3 linked regions of the Caenorhabditis elegans genome follow. The protein of the gene in region 3 interacts with the protein of the main gene of each other region in a pairwise test. Each region holds a gene or a part of one and is shown on either strand. Other genes may lie near its edges. The genes, in order: klf-2, sex-1 and sma-9.

The links.
Region 1: the proteins of sma-9 (region 3) and klf-2 interact in a two-hybrid assay, tested with the Caenorhabditis elegans proteins (one large-scale study listed by BioGRID).
Region 2: the proteins of sma-9 (region 3) and sex-1 interact in a two-hybrid assay, tested with the Caenorhabditis elegans proteins (one large-scale study listed by BioGRID).

Annotation. Positions count from the first base shown.
Region 1 is NC_003283.11:20,682,783-20,688,324, reverse strand, and holds the start of klf-2 (Kruppel-like factor 2), read right to left. Parts: upstream 2,643-5,542; 5' UTR 2,627-2,642; intron 2,596-2,626; 5' UTR 2,509-2,595; intron 1,418-2,508; coding exon 1,229-1,417; intron 1,181-1,228; coding exon 760-1,180; intron 715-759; coding exon 655-714; intron 1-654. Other genes in the region: srsx-35 (G-protein coupled receptors family 1 profile domain-containing protein), read right to left, coding at 5,311-5,479, 5,523-5,542. UniProt on the Caenorhabditis elegans protein: Probable transcription factor which regulates lipid metabolism.
Region 2 is NC_003284.9:10,202,241-10,207,782, forward strand, and holds the start of sex-1 (Steroid hormone receptor family member cnr14), read right to left. Parts: upstream 3,182-5,542; coding exon 3,008-3,181; intron 2,894-3,007; coding exon 2,701-2,893; intron 1,778-2,700; coding exon 1,629-1,777; intron 1,017-1,628; coding exon 875-1,016; intron 488-874; coding exon 291-487; intron 236-290; coding exon 1-235. UniProt on the Caenorhabditis elegans protein: Transcriptional regulator which is involved in the sex determination and X chromosome dosage compensation pathways.
Region 3 is NC_003284.9:10,770,218-10,775,759, forward strand, and holds the start of sma-9 (Transcription factor sma-9), read left to right. Parts: upstream 1-2,873; coding exon 2,874-3,437; intron 3,438-3,489; coding exon 3,490-3,645; intron 3,646-3,713; coding exon 3,714-4,251; intron 4,252-4,675; coding exon 4,676-5,127; intron 5,128-5,312; coding exon 5,313-5,388; intron 5,389-5,542. UniProt on the Caenorhabditis elegans protein: Transcription factor, probably acting as a transcriptional activator and repressor, involved in the TGF-beta-like dbl-1 signaling pathway.

The sequences.
Region 1 (5,542 bases), on a different chromosome or scaffold from region 3:
AACCTCAAAATTAAAAAAAAGTGCTCAACTAACATAAAAGTTGAAAACTTTACATCTTACCGTTTTAGAAATAAAAAGCAAGCTAATTTCCCAAGAAGCAGTTGCAAATTTATAAATTTTTAGATTTTCGCAGCAAAAAAACATTTTAAAAAGCTTAGCTGACGATCTCAGTGTCAGATCAAATCGCGACTCTGAGTTTCGTCAATCACCAGATAAACCAAAATATAATAGATATTTCAGGCGTTCTTCCTGCAAGCAACTTTCGCATTTTCCACACTTTCCGAAGCATTAGGAATTGGGTAAGTTATTATTTTCCAATTTTCCCGCAACCCTCCTAATTCTTATATCCATAGGCCCACGCACTTAATTGACAGTTTATTGATACTTTACAACTCCTTATTCGATACTTCTAAAAGGGGGATGCCGCGAAGTACCGGACAAGGCCAAATATTGATATGGACTAACATAACATAGCAACAGTAGTTGATTCCTGTGCATTCGTTACAAAAAGTATCTAGTGATTGATGAGAAGCGTGTTTGTCAACGGAAGTATCCCGTTACACAGAACAATGTGCCGACGAGTGCGCGCTGTTCACGACATTGAAGAGGAGGATATGATTAATTATGTATAATGAGGTTCTGTAAGCTACTCACCACTATGAACACGCTCATGAGCTGTTAGATGGGAACTTTTTGTGTAGACCTTGCCGCAACCTGAAAATGAAATTCAAGCTTAAGCTAAACACGCTTGCAACTTACCTTGATAAAAACACTTATGAACTCTTAATCGATCCAAAGTAGCCTTATCCCTCCGTTTACTCGGCACCTTTTTTGGTTTTTCAGTGCTCTGCGGATGATATACTCTTCCACGATCTTTTAAAGGAATCCTGGGATCTTCCTCGTCTTTACCCGACAAATCGCTTGAAAATGAGTAACTGGATACAGACGCTGCAGGCGATGGAACGAATAACTTGGCTTCAAACGGATATGGTGTCGAGCTTCCCGAGTTTTGATGTTCCATTGGAGTCATCGAAGGTTCCATGTGATTGAGGTGAGTTTCGGAATTATTCTGTTGTGGAAAGTCATGGGAAAAATTGAAAGAACTGTGCGGGCCTTGTGGAATATTTTCTTCGAAAGTTTGTTGGACATGGTTATGATGATTGTAGTGCTGCTCGATGACCTCAAAAAATAGAAAATTGAATTTAAAAACTTCAATTAAATACAAAACCTGATTATTAACAGGTCCCGTATGAAAATGATAGTTGTGAACATTGATGACTGGAGCCGCAGCTGCTCCATTATAATGATGATGAGATTGTTGGTGATAATGCTGCTGATGATGTTGGTGATGGGCATTTTGGTATTGAGACTGATGATAGTAACCATTTGAACTAGACGGGACTATGCTAGAGTACATCTGGAAGGAGTTGTAGATGAATAACGATAAATTGAAAATCACCAAAAAAGAGTGAGACTCTGAAACGAATTTTCAAAAATTACATTGTAACAGAAGGTCAAATAAAAATTAGCATAGGCAAATACTAATTCATTTTGTGGTTAAAAAAAGATGTAATGCCTGAACCTAATTGTATGCATAGTTCTAAATTTGTAGTGAAAATCTTAACCATAAGCCAAAGTAAGGCAACTTCTACTAGTAGATAGTACAAATATTCCAACACTACAACAACACCATGTAATACCGTTGTGCATACACACACGCACAAATGTGACGTCTTCATTCTCGTTCAATACATTTCAAGTCATAAAAGTCTTGCGTTCTTCTTTGCCTACTGCTTACTTTTCGATATTTGTTGTGAATTTTCAAAGCGAAAGTTGTAGTTCTTGTGAATATGTTTTTACGTCATATCACAAGTGTATATACAAATAGGGGGAATTAGTAGCAAAATTTTTGGATCTTTTTGATATTTAGAGAATTCACACTCAAACCGAAATATTCAAGAGATAAGAAAGTTAAAGGTGGAGTAGCGCCTGTGAGAATTTTGTCTCACTTATATTAAACCAAAGCGACAAAATATCATGATGCAACACTCCTAAAAATTTTAGGTTTCTCATAATTCCAGGTCAAAGTTTTGGCACATTGCCAAAATATTGAAAAATATGAGCCTTTGAGGAAATTCAATGCAGTGTCGCATGTTCCGACCCCTATAATTTTTTAAAACAAATAATTAAAACAAAATGAAAATATAAAAAATGCAAGAAATTTTTTTCCGACTTCTAAAATTATGAGTGGCAAAGAATGAGCACTTGTCAGTTTTTGACAGTAAATAGAAAAATTTCAAAATTTTTTTGAAAGTTTTATTTTGATATTCGGTCATTTTTGACACCATAGGAGTTGTTTTTAGCATTTTCCCCAATGGCGCTGCTCCATTTTTAAGAACTTTCAAGTTCGAAATTCTGGGAACTAACTACTAACTATAAGGCTCTAACTCTCAATGCACTGAACACGTAGGAACTAACTCACTAAAAACAAAATACCTATGTACTCACCACAAAGAACAAAACAATGTTAATGCTAGATTACAATACGTGCCTTCATTAGTAGAGCATCTATCGTGAAACTAAAGAAAAATGACTAATGTTTCCACAAAAATAAACATCCTAAGCGAATATACACACCTCTTCTGGTCTACAAAAAAGTGAGCTCCCCAGGCTCCAAAAAAGGGGTGTGGTGACACCAGACCGGTCACTCCTATGATAACAAACAGAAAACTTGAGCAAACTTTTCTTTCCCCCCAAGAATAGAAAATACAGAAAACTTGAGCATGTGTAGATGGTGGTCATGATATGTTTGATCTAAAGATTACGACACTTTTGGGCATTTCGAAAAAAAATAAACATGTCAAGAAGACGATGGTCAAGCTAGAAGAAAATTATCCAAGAAGGCGCACATATGCCCTGCAAGTGCCATTTTATGATAGCATGTCAAAACTGATAGGCATGGGCAAACAGTAACCAAAAAACGGGGAGGTTTGTTGTTTCTCTGAGAAAGGGGTGGCAGAAAGGTGTGTGCGCGGAAAATGTGTGGAGGGGAGATGGGTGTCATTAATAGAAGAAGGAAGGGAGTTTTTTGGGAAAAGGACATGTGATAAATAATTTTGTTTTCAAAGTTCAGAAATTTTATAGAAAGAACACAAGGCTTTGTAGTGCTCCAAAGTTATGCCGGTTTTGATCAATAGTACAGTACATCACGGGTGGGTGGCAAACGATTTTTCCGGCAAATGGGCAAATTGCCGGCAAATCAGAAATTCTATTTCTATGAAAATTCTATGAAAATTTCAAAAAAAAAAACGGAAAAAAATTCAAAAAGGCACAGTTTTAAGTGTTTCCGTCTTATAAAAAAAATCCCTCTAAACATTTTTGGCAAATCTGATATCCATCAAATTGGCAAACCGGCAACTTGCCGAAAATGAAAATTCCGACAAATAGGCAAACCGGCATTTTGCCTATTTGCCGGATTTGCGGACAGTCAAGTCACAACCAAGATTTGGTTTTAAATCTGAAAATGACGTGCGGGACTAAAAACAGAAGGGAAATGTAGACGCTAGATTGAAAAAAAAAACTATACATATCCACAAACAGTATCACTTACAGTACTCTAAAATGATACCCCAATGCTGTGTTTATCCAAACGTCCCCCCCCTCCCACCTCCAATTTTAGTACCCTCTTCCCTACCGCCTCGCCTTGCTACAGTCGGGAAGTTATGATTTTACGGGTGCGAACAATCCAGTAAGTGGGTGCGGAAGAGGAGGAAGCAGTGATTACTGTTAAAAGTGCCGACTAGGTATGTAAACGTACTTGAGAATATTGTTTGGACGGGCGGTCTCCTTTTTTTCAACTGCGGCGGGACCATATCAGTTTTATGATTGATTAATGTTTGATATATTGAGATAATGGAAAGGTGTGTTCGACTGGTAAAACTCGCAGTATGGTTTTAACTGAGGCAACTCCAGCAACCTAATTCTTTGTAAAAATTGTAACCGTCAGGATTTTGAGTTTTGACAAAAAAAACTAATAAAAATATTAGAAGATCTCGAAGAGAATTCAGATGTGAGTAAACAAGTATGTACATATGTTCTGAAATATATTTATATATACACATATATATTTACATAGACATACAAATTTAGTGGCAATGTATCTTTTTGTCTGACACTCTACATTTTTGCGTGTTTAAAAGTGCAAGATGAGTCGTAAACAATTTTCATTCGATTTTTGGAATCTGGTTTTTAAAATTGAACAGCAAGTAATAGATCGTAAAAGCAACACAAACCAATAAGGACGTTGCAAATTGACCGGAGATTTCTGAAATTTGTTTTTTTTAAATTTAAATTGTTGATGTACTTACTTGCAATAATATGTCACCAGGACCATAATCAAATTTCCAGTAGTCCCAATTACAAAAACTGTACAATAAATAACGAAAAGGATAATTAGAAGAGGTTCCATTTTTTGAGACAACGGAAGTGAGAAAATACAATAACTACAATCTATTATATAGGTATTTTTTATATCCTCTATAATTTGTATTATGAAAATAGGTGAATTCTAAGAATCCCTTAAAAAATATATATAATAACTTTAGTATAATAGTCGTTAAAAATATTTCTAGTTTTCGCAGATAAGTACATAAAAAACAAGACTATCTAAGAATAATCAAAAATCTTTTCCAGAATTATCTTGTTTCTAGATATGATAATCTATTACATATAATAGGACCTCATTAGTCAGCTTATCTTGAAAACGATACAATATACAAAATAACTCCCAACACAATCGTAATTCTGACCTTCTTGGTTGCATTTTTCGCGCTCCATTGACAATCGCCTGCCGGAGATGACGCGTGTAAAAGTCGAGTACTCTAAAGGGACAAAAAAAAATTCAGTTTTACAACAAAAACCAATCCGCGACGCGGCACTCAACGCTCCGTAAATCTACCCAAGATGCGGCCGAGCCAAAATGGCCTAGTTCGGCAAACTCTAACATTTCAATTTATGATGGAAGCCAGACCCGCGTGGAAGATGCAATCAAAATTGACAAAAAGATCTCGTACCATACTTTCAAAAATTATTTTAGAATGCTGGTACATTTCGGAAGTTTAATGATTCTTGACGTGGACAAGAAAATATTTCAACATGAACATTTTTTTGGCCTAACCTTCACAATATTGCAATACTACAGAAAATTACATTTATTTGTACAGGATCACACAAAAATCAATAGTAAGCAAAGTATACAACGATGTGATTGAGGTAAGAAAAATATATTTAAAAAATTCTTTAATGCAAATCCTAGATATGAAGTTCTTGTTGAATCGTGTTCAACGCGTTTGTATTAGTAGATGGTCTCTGAATACTTGATCTCTGTGCATCTGTAGCTTGTTGATAAGTGGTTCCTTTTGCTATGGATATTTCATTCGAGAGACCAAGCATTGTGCGCATTGCTGAACGGTAGTCTCGACTGAAAGAATGTTTTGGGCTAGAATTAAAAAATTTCAAATTACCTCAATTTGTAATACACCAC
Region 2 (5,542 bases), 570 kb from region 3:
TGAGTCTTCCATCTCGAAGCATAAGCCCTCTGTTCGACATTCCACGAACAATGCGAAGCAAGTAGAGTGGGAAAGCGTTTTTCCTGAGTAAAACTGCTTTGTCGTTTCCGTTAATGAAATTAAATTTTGGAATTTCTTTCACAAAGTTTACAACTTCCTTGATGTCCACGTCAATTTCATGAGCATAAATCTGCCAGGCATTCAATCGATTCATTTTTGAGTCTTCATTGATTCTCTGAAACATTTTAACGTTTAGTATGATTTTAAAAACATGCCCAAAAGTTACTTACGACATTGAATGGTCTTGCAACAATACTTCGGATTTTAATGTCAGTGTAAAATGAGAAGGTAGTGTGTGCTCGGAGTACAGCTTCATATACGGCGTCAACTTCTTCTTGCCGTTCTAGCGTTGAGATTTCCGGAACAAAAACGGAATCGGGGCTCTTATCATCTCGCATTGCATTTCTGAACTTCATTTGGCGAACAGCTGAAACAACATTTAAATCTTTATTTTTTTTGAAAAACTTGAACTCGGTCTTCCAAAAAGTTTTTGCTTAAAACAGGTACGGTTTTCTTTTTTTTATGAGTTTTTTCTTTTTTTAATGAGTACTTGTGAATCCTATAGAACACTATTTGAACATGTGAAAATTTAGCTTGAAATGTTTTCAGAAAAACTAATGGTTTCAGGTTTTATGACGAATATAGAAATCGTTTTCGTTTCAGCTTATTGAGGCTTCACAGTGATCAAACCTTAAAACCTCAATAGACTTTGATTTCTAATAAATTATCATTTGTGTAAACCCTATTGAGCCAACTGCGTCAGGTGTGTTTGACACCACAAAATTGTTGCACACTTCTATCTGATCAAACTTACAATCTTTTGACATTCCAGAATCAAGGCATTTTTTGAAACGACAGTACTGGCATCTGTTGCGGCTCTCGCGTTTGATCTCACAAACTTGCTGTTTCAAACACCGGTAATCAATCTTGCGCTGAATGCTCCGACGGAAGAATCCCTGAAAGAAATAGTTAATTCAAAAAAAAACTAATTTGATGGCACGTGTCGGTGCCAAGAGTACGCCCCTTGTAAAGGATTTACTGCCTTTGTGCTGAAGTCGAACCATTTTTTGAAATCTCAAAATGTGAGCGGGGCGTTGTGATGTGTAAATGACCAAGAATAAAGAAGGGAAGAATGAGGGATTCAAATTTAAATTAGTCATCTTATCCGCTTAAACTTTCTCGTTCAGTTGATGTTTTTCTTTGTATCTAACGCACTTGCTCAGCAGACCAACCAACCATGTTTTATTAACCGTCATTATATGTATTTGCCGAGTAAGGCTTGTTCCTCTTATGTTAGTATGCATCCAAGACACTCGCACAATGGGAAAAGAGAGTCCTTAATGCACATAGCAATACACAGTCTCCAAATAATTGCGCAATTTGTGTTGGGGAAGTGCTCATTCTCTCGCTCTTGGTCTAACATAAGGGAAAACAAAAAATCAAATAAGACGGTCATAAATATAGGTTTCGTAAATAGAACAAGAAGGGGATTTATGAGTGGAGAAGGGTTTCATTAAATTCAATAGAACCACGTGATTAGTGATCATTTTAGGACCATTCATGCCTACCTTGCATCCTTCGCATGACGTCACTCCGTAATGGTATCCACTTGCTTTGTCTCCGCATACTTTGCAAAATGAGATCGCCTTCCCAATGTGATGACGTTGAGTGGTATGACCATTTGATAAGGAATCAGGAGGAGACAACGATGAAGTTACTGTAAATGTAAAATTATCTAAGAAATTTTAGAAGAGTCAATTTTCAAGTGGGTGATATGGTCATACAACATTTCTTCGATTCTTCGAATTCTTCTGTTTTATTCTTTTTCTAAACTTATTTACACATCAGAAATATACAAATTTAACTCAACTTGGCAGATTACAGATTTAACATGCTATGTATACCAGTGAAATTTATTGAAGTACACTGTGCACACCATATTTGTTTCCTTCTCAATGATGACGTGATAGTATTTACCTAGTTTTCCTTGGTCCCGTTCTCTCCGCGACTCAGTAAGCTCTTAGCCACATCTTCAAGATTTGTGGCATATGCGTTCTCATTGTCTCTCTCACTCTCACAGTCTTTTTACCACGCCTACATCGCACTCTTTCACCGTTCTCTACGTTCTCCTCCTTTATTACACTTCGTCTTCTCCTCTTCTTTCACCCATCGGCATTCTTTTATTACCGTACCCATACATCACTGTGGTCTGGCAGCGGACGTCCAAAGAAATGACGAAACCTGGAGATTATTACGCAACCACGTCATAGCCGCTTGCCTTCACTTTCGTTGTACAAAAGTAGGCCATCTTAGAATACAGGAAGATACGTGGAACAGAGCACAACTGATCTGGTCCCTATCGAGCTAAATATGATCCAGAGAGGGAAGAGATGAAGAATGATTGCAAAGTCTATTAGACTTTTTCATTTTCTCTGCTCTCATTCTTCTATCAATTAAATGGGAGAAATAAAGAAAAAAGGCGAGAGAAACTCGGAAACTTGCAACACTTCTCAGACACATGTTCTTAGGTGAGGAAAAAAATCTGTGTTGCTGTAGATGTTGCTGCCACTTGTCACCACACACTTGATGATATGCCCCACCTACTGATAGATTTTGATAGAAATAGACTCCCTAACTTACCACTTGTTGCCGGCGAGCTCACGCTGGCTTGTGACGCCGTATCATAGAACTGATGGTGATTGTACCCATTGACGTTATTGAAGTAGCGACGGTGTGAGAGAGGGTCAGCGTAGTTGTTGGCGTTACCACTTTGAGCTGCTGTCGATCCGTTTTGGATTTGGAATTCTGACGAGAATTCATCCGTCACGTACGTCTGCAAATTGAGAAGATTTAGTTTTCAGTTTAATTCCTGGATTTCTATTTTGAAACTACGCATTAACTTTGTAAATCAGAACAAAATATGAAAATGATGACGACAAAAACTTACAGCTCCAGTCGGAAGATGTGACCATTGACCATTTGTTCCTTCTGGTTTGCTTGCCTCTGATGATGGAATTGAAGCTGTTTTTCCAGAAGGGCTGTAGTATGGAGATGTGCATACAGAAAGCGGTGTGTCAGGATTTGTCAGTAACAGATAGTTAGGTTTTGTTTCGAAACTCATCTGAAAATTAAAATTATTGAGTAATGCAGTAACGGACAACTTTCACAGTGGGAAGAGACAGAGAATTGGTAAGAGAATTATCTGAAAGGTAAAAGAAAGAAATGGAAAATCTGCTGACAAAGGAAAAGAACAGCAGTTCGAGAAAAACGTGATAACAATTTGATGAAGAGAACATGGAAAGCTAGAATCTAGAAATCAACAATTAGTTTTTAAAGCAGGGAACTATTAACTAGCAATAAGGAAGGCTGGTATCGTGTATTAATCTGCGCTGAATGCCTGCCTGTGGGTGAGAGGATGGGGAGAGACGAGGAGGATAGGCGGAGCTGAGGAGGAGTGCACCACTGGGAGATTGCTCGACAAGCAAGCACATTTCGATTAAAAAAACGGGTGGCATGAGGTGAGCTTCACACATGGTTTTAGAGTAAAATTTTACCTTTTAATTGATATTTTAGTACCGGAAAGTAAGAAACGTGTTCAACTTCTTAAATTAAAATTCAAAAGTGATCTGAATAGAACAATTTCCAAAAGCATTATGAAGTTTCCAACAAATTCAACTAGGTTGAGAAGATGTGATACAATTTATAACTACCTAGTATAGTCCTTCACATGTTAAGCCGCTACTACACATGTGTGCATTTTTTTTTTAAAAGTTTTTGGTAGAAATCATGGATGCAAAAATTGATCAGCCAAGTCCACAATCACGCACAAAAATAAACGAAGATAGTTTGAGCGAACAAGATTACTGCGTTCTCCCCCGAGAAAATGATTGCGTTGTTCTAGGCAATTCTTGCGCAATTTGCAATTAGATATTCCATACACAATGTGTTGCATGGTTGCGTGCCTTTCTCACAGGAAAAAACTAGGGAAGAGGAGACGGTAAGATAAAGCAACAGAAGGAGGGCTCGAGATGAAGTACTATCCACTCGAGCTCACTTCACCATCATGTTAAGGTGTGAATTGACACCTCTTGGGTGAGGAGAAGTGACGAGATGTTGGGAAGCGATGACGTGTAGTGAGAAGAGTAAGATAATAATGTTTACAGAGTTGCAAAGAATCACACAGAGAAAACTCAACAAACTAGAGATATGCACAATGAAAAACAAAATATCGATCCAAAAAAGTGCGGACTGAGAGAGAAGAGGAGGCAATGCAGTGGTCCGCAATTGTTGGAGATGAAAAACGAGACAACTGTGATCGAGAAATGAACAGTCTGCAAAGGGGAGGAGAAGAGGCGAATGCGCACAACAAGACACCGTCTGGAAAGAGGTCTGCCGGTTTACAACCACCTTTAAAAATTGGTGCACATCGCTTGCGCATACACAACTTGGGAGATGAAATATATAGGACGGGAGGATACTCTAATAAGAGTGAATATTATTAATATCTCCAAAAATGGCACATAATATAGCACATAACTTCAACAATTAACGCTCGCCGGCTATTGCGTGAACTGTGTAACTAGTAAGGCATCTAAATTACTAACGGAATTCTAGATCACCAATATTTCGTCCTCCACTTGTACACTCGGACATAACAATACACCTTCGTGCACATCTTTCCCTAGCTAACATCTCTTAATGATGCAACTTATGCCTTTTCCCCGGTTTCTATTACGAAGAGACGTTTCAGTAACATGCACAATCTTTATGAGTTCACGAATTGCATTCCCGTTTCACAAATAAACTTCACCCTAACTTTGTACTTTATGGAAAATTCATCAAAACGACAGCTGGAACTGTTAAAGCATAAAAGACTCTCTGCGAAATTTTGTGCATCTGTCGATGTACTTTCTTCAAAATGACGAATTTTTGAACAATTCATAAATTTGTTTCTATTGCACCATGTTCTTCCATCTACACAGGCATTTTTCCAAGAAAAAAAAGAAAACAGCTGTTTCATTTTTCTCTACTCTTAACGATTTAAGATACATAAGCAAGATAAAAATCATCAGGAAAAACGTAAGGGAAAGTGTTTTCCATGACACAAAACATTATCTAACCGATGAAGTTGATTAGATAGTGCAATGCATGGTCCGTAAAAGGGGCATAATTAACTGATAATGATTATTTGTAATAGAAAAAACTATGTTCTGTGTTTTCAGTTGTTTTAAAGGGATAGAAAGTTTGAAAGTGTTAAAAACACTGAAACTAATATTCATACTGTTTGAATTAAGAAAATATAAAAATCGCAAAAAAAATATATTGATCTGGATGTATATCTAAGACAACTTCAATCAAGGATCGGTTATTAAATTTCAAGCTATTTCAATCTTAGAGCAAAACAACATGGTTTTCTATTGCACTTCCCAAAAGTGTAAATCTGGTATTAGTGGAAACATAAAAATCCAGTGACCGTAATTAA
Region 3 (5,542 bases):
GTGTCTATACGTACCTAATTTTGTTTGTTTTATGCGAGAAAGAACAACGAATGGTCAGTCCGGAGGTCAAATATATCAGCAAACATTTGTGAAGTTTGATTTTGAGATGGTTCACTAAATTCCAAATTTTTCATCATCTAAATTTTTTTAGCTTTGGTATAACTTTTTAATTATGGAAAATGATCAGTGTAAACTTTCAAAAATTATAAAAAAGAGTAGCATTAATGTAATGTAATAATTTTAAAAACTAAAAGAAAGTAACAGCATTTGATCAACAATAATTACTTGATTGCTCTCTTGTTTAAAGTTTAAAAAATTTACGATAAAATTAGACATGAACTAATAAATATCAATTGTATAAATTATTATTAATTGAGCACATACAGAATGTACCTGTTTAGCTTTAAGAATGTTTTCTGCAGTTTCTAAAAGATGAGTGACGCAAAAAATAACAATAAAAACACAACTAGAATTTTTACTGCATTTTCAACCAAAAAATTTAGCATTTTGAAAATTCACTATTCACTTTGTCTAGTTGTATAAATATTTTCTTATTTCGCACACACATTTTGCAAACAAAAACAAAAAAGGGTAGTTTTTAAAAACATCTTAAAACGAAACATAACGTAATGCCCTATTGCATGTATTGTTATCGGCAATTTGTATTTCTGATATCACTTGAGAAAATAAAGTCAAGGATACAGTTTCCACATAGTTGATCTCCGTGTGTTGCCACTCCTCTCAATATGGAATATATGGGCGGCCTGTTTTCGCTTATTTTTCCTTCGCTCGGCGTCTATTTTCTTCGTCTTTTCTCCACTCTTTCTTCTCACTCGTCAAAACCACATAATGATCACGTGAACCTTCACTTATTTTTCACCTGCTTCTTTTCCTGTCCTCTACACGTTTGTCTGATGTTTAATCACAGTTGTTTTCCTGCCTCGGCCTCTTTTCAAACTCCTCGGGGTGTTTCCTTTTTTTTTCCTCTCTCTCTTTTTTTCTGTAGTGCTTCCTTTATTTCTCATTTTTCTTTTCTTGCTTTTCATTCACCAGGCCCCTTCTTTTTTTTCTATTTCTCATCCATCCAAAGTGAGGGAGAAAAAGAGAGAAAAAGAGTGAAAGAGTGCTTTTCTGTGCACACATATCACTTGGTCTGTTAGTGTCATGGGACCCCGGGGCATTTCCTCCTGTTTATCGTTTTCTCTGGGTTCAAACGAGAAAGGATCTTTCGGAATTGTCAAGGCTCAAGCATCTCTTCTGAGCCAATGAGTGTTTTTTCTCTTTATCACAAATGTCTTTTACTTTTTACACGCTTTTTACAAGATTTGAATGATTTGTTTCCGAAGAGATAGAGAAAATAAAGATATTAATCATGAAAACTTGTTAATAGAGTACCGTAATTGGTGAGGTTTAGCTTATTTGAGTGCAGAAAAATTTAAATCTTGAAGTTTTCTTGGCGAAAAATTAAAAAAAAAACAGCAGAACTGTGAAATAAATATTTGCAGCTACCAGATACATCTATTTTAGTCATTTGAATTATTGAGAAAAACAGACTACATAAATGAACTACAGTATACAACTTGAATTAAAAAAGGAGTTTTTGACTGAAAAATAACCATTTTCTAGCTTTAATAGACATAGTTTTTGGCTTTGATTTTTTGTTAACGAAAGCAACTAGAAAACATTCAAATTTCAAATGTATTTAGTCATTTTCTGCATATCAAAACTATTTTTTTAAACCTGATGCTCCAAGTGTTTAGTTAAATTTATATGTAATAAATAATTTTGTTTTCCATTAATATCAGTTTTGATAAAACTAAAGTAATACAGTAGTTATCCACCACAATTTGGTGCCCTGATTGTCCTCTTAATATTTTAATTGTACGAAATTTTGCCATCAACCAACCACACTCACTTTTTTTGGTAACTTTTCTTCCCATTTCTCTACTTCTCTTGCATTTTGTTATTTCACAATAGTCCACTCTATCTTCTTTTTCCAATGTCCCTCTCAAATCATTCGCGCCCTGTTTAGCACCCATAGAGTCATTGATCACTTGGCCAACAGCCGGTCTCCCGGTAATGATAACGGGAAAAGTCAATGAACATTGAGTGAGAAAAAGAAAGAAAGAGAGAGAAAAGGACAGAGAGCAGCAAATGTGTATGTCACACACTCTTTTAGTCTCATAGAATACTAATCGATCACAATCACAAGTTACAAAGAAGTGTTGAACATTTTCAAGAGCTGCAAATCTGTGATAAGGTGACGAAGAATTGAGGTGACGTACTCTTTTCCCGTTTTTTTAAATTGTGATAGTGTGAGTGAAAAGATTGCGCGAGTAATGGGTAACCGTTTCGAAGACTGAACTGCATTCATGAGAGCCTCCAATCTGTTGCAGGAGTCAAAGTGAGGCAATTTGCGTCTTGATTTGATATGAATAGAAAAAGAATGAACGACAATATATTGTCTTCTGTTTTGATTAATGATTTATTTCAAGACATTGTATACAGTCTTAAAAACATTTGGCAACGGTTTTAGTAATTGTTATTTTTATTCCCCTTCATTCATTGTAATGAAACATATTAGAGAAATCAGTATGAATCAAATCAGAACGACGTTTGAATTGATAGGAATGAAGAAAAAACGTGACCACTCTTCCCCGAATCATTAAAAGTGAACCTTGTACCCAGTTTGCTGTAGACAAGTAACTTTCATGCTAATTATGGTCTCATGTGAACGTCACATGGTTCCAATCACTTTCTCATTATTTTTTGTAATACGTCTTCATCTCTCATTTTCCCCCTTATCTCACTTTGTTTTACGATGAACTTAACTTACATGAATCAAACTTAAAAAGTGGTTTTAGAATTGGCGAATGAGCCATCAGGCAATTGGAATCTCGAACAACTTTCAGCAGGTACAACGTGAGCAGCTAAATCATCAACGATTATTACAAGCACAGCTCCAGACTAATGGACCTGGAAGTGTTTCTCAGCAGCAGCAGGCTTCGCAGCAACAACAGCAAGTGCAGCACGTCCAGCAGCAACAACAGTCGCAGCAGCAACAGCAACAAGTTGCTTCACAACAAAACCAGCCGCAATTGCAAATGAATGCTCAGATACTGCAAGCTTTGTCAACACCACAAGGACAAAATTTAGTTAACATGCTTTTGATGCAACAGGCACTTAATGCGCAACAGACTGATACTCAGAATCCACAACAAATTATGCAACATCAATTAGCTCAACAGCAGGCACAACAAGCTCAGCAAGCTCAACAAGCGCAACAAGCTCGACAACAGGCAGAACAACAAGCTCAAGCCCAAGCTCGTCATCAAGCTGAGCAGCAGGCTCAGCAACAGGCACAGCAACAGGCGCAGGCACGGCAACAAGAACAACAAGCTCAATTAGCAGCTATTCAACAGCAAGTCACGCCACAGGTTTGTGTTTAGTACAAAATTGATAATTCGAAACTTTGATTTTTATTTTAAGCAATTTGCTCAAATATTGCACATGCAACAGCAGCTTCAACAACAGCAGTTTCAACAACAACAGCTCCAGCAGCAACAACTTCAGCAGCAGCAACTGCAACAGCAACAACTTCAACAACAACAGCTCCAGCAGCAACAGTTACAACAGGTTCTACAGGTGAGTTGACACAGAAATAGCATGTTGATAACTTGAAATTGGCGTTATTTTATTTTTTTTTTCTTCAGATCTCACAAGCCCAACAACAAGCTCAACAAGCTCAGCATGTCCAGTCTAGACAAATGCAGCCGTCCCAACAGAGCCAGGTACAGGCGCAACTCCAGCAGCAACAGCAATTGCAGCAGCAACAAGCTCAGCAGCTTTCACAGCAGCAGGCGCAGCAGCAACAACAATTACAACAGTTACAACTGCAGCAATTTCTTCAACAACAGCAACAGCTTCATCAGCAACGTGCGGCTGCCCAACAAGCTCAGGCTCAGAACAATGCTTCACAACAACGCCCGTCGGTTGCATCGACGCCTGCATTGTCTTCAACTCCACAGTTGAATGATCTTACACAGACAATGCAAGCCCAGCTTCAACAGCAACTGCTTCTCCAACAGCAACAGGCTCAGGCTCAACAAGCTCAACAAGCTCAGCAAGCACAACTAGCTCAACAGGCTCAACAGCAACAGCAAGGGCAGTCTCAAAATAGAACAGTTTCTCAAGCACTGCAATATATTCAGTCTATGCAACTGCAGCAAAGAGCCGATGGAACCCCAAACGGTACGTTTAAATTTTGTATTTTTCTCTGTTTTCATTTTCTCACGTTCACACGCTTCACAACTCTGTGTCTGTTTCCCTTCTCTGTTTTCCCAGTTTCTCCCTTCCCGTTTTCCATCGTTTCCCTTTTTTGCCAGTCCACATACGTTCAACCACACAACCACACCACAACTCTTTGAAAATTATCCGATATACGTATATGACATCAAAAATATCATAGAACATTTTGTTTCCATTTGTTTTTTTTTGAAATATGCATGCAAATAGATAGTGTGTAAACCAACAATAATTAGAAAGTGATAAAGAATGAGATTTTTGTAACCATTACTTCAGCTTTTCTCCTGAATCATCTTCTTCTCTTTTTCTGTGCACCACCTTCTAACCATTGGTTGTTCAAACACGCTTACCCAATATTTTTCCCCTTCAGCAGAGTCACAAGAAGAGAGGTTGGCTCAAATGCTGAACGAACAACAGCAGCGGATGCTGCAAAATCAGGCGCGCGAGGCACAACATCGTCAGTTGCTCATTTCTTCGACGCCTGCTCCTCGAGGTGGTATCACCATGGGAACTCCAATTGGTATTGCAAGGAGAGAAGAGCAGCCGGTACCGTCTACGGTGGCGGTAACGACGGCACCGGCTGCAGTCCGCACGCCTGTTGCTGTGCCACCTATGAAACAAAATTCTAACCCTTCCATGAATCCATCATCCACATCTACGTCTGCATCTGCCACAAGCAGTCATCAGATTTTAGCCCCCTCGCTCTCCAAACCACTTGAGCAGCCTTCCTCGTCGAAGGCCGCATCGTCTGGCAACGAGTCGATGTCGGACCACATCAGCCGAATCATCTCTGAGAACGAAGTCATTCTTCAAGGAGACCCGGTGAGTGCCGAATTCTTCTAGCGTGATGGGTTTTCTTTTTTTGAATAATTCGCCCCCTGGAGTTTGATGAAATGATACGGAAACAATACCAGACCAAAATAAAACAAAACCTTTCATGTTTTTATTCATAATTTCAAATCTCATTTGTCCTTCTGTTTGACGTCTTCGAATCTGTCCATTTACAGGTGATTCGCAAAAAGCGGCCATACCATCGGCAAATAGGTGCGCAATCCTCGGTCGATCACGACAGTAATAGTGGTGGTGAGTTGTGGTGTGGTTGAGTTTCTTGAAAGCATCGCTCCATTACCCTTGTCCTTCTATCCCAAGACAAGATATTGTCTCCTTCTATTACTCGCCCCAACGTTTCCGCTATACCGTCTCGATTTGCATGCCAGTGCGTGTCTGCACGTGTCCA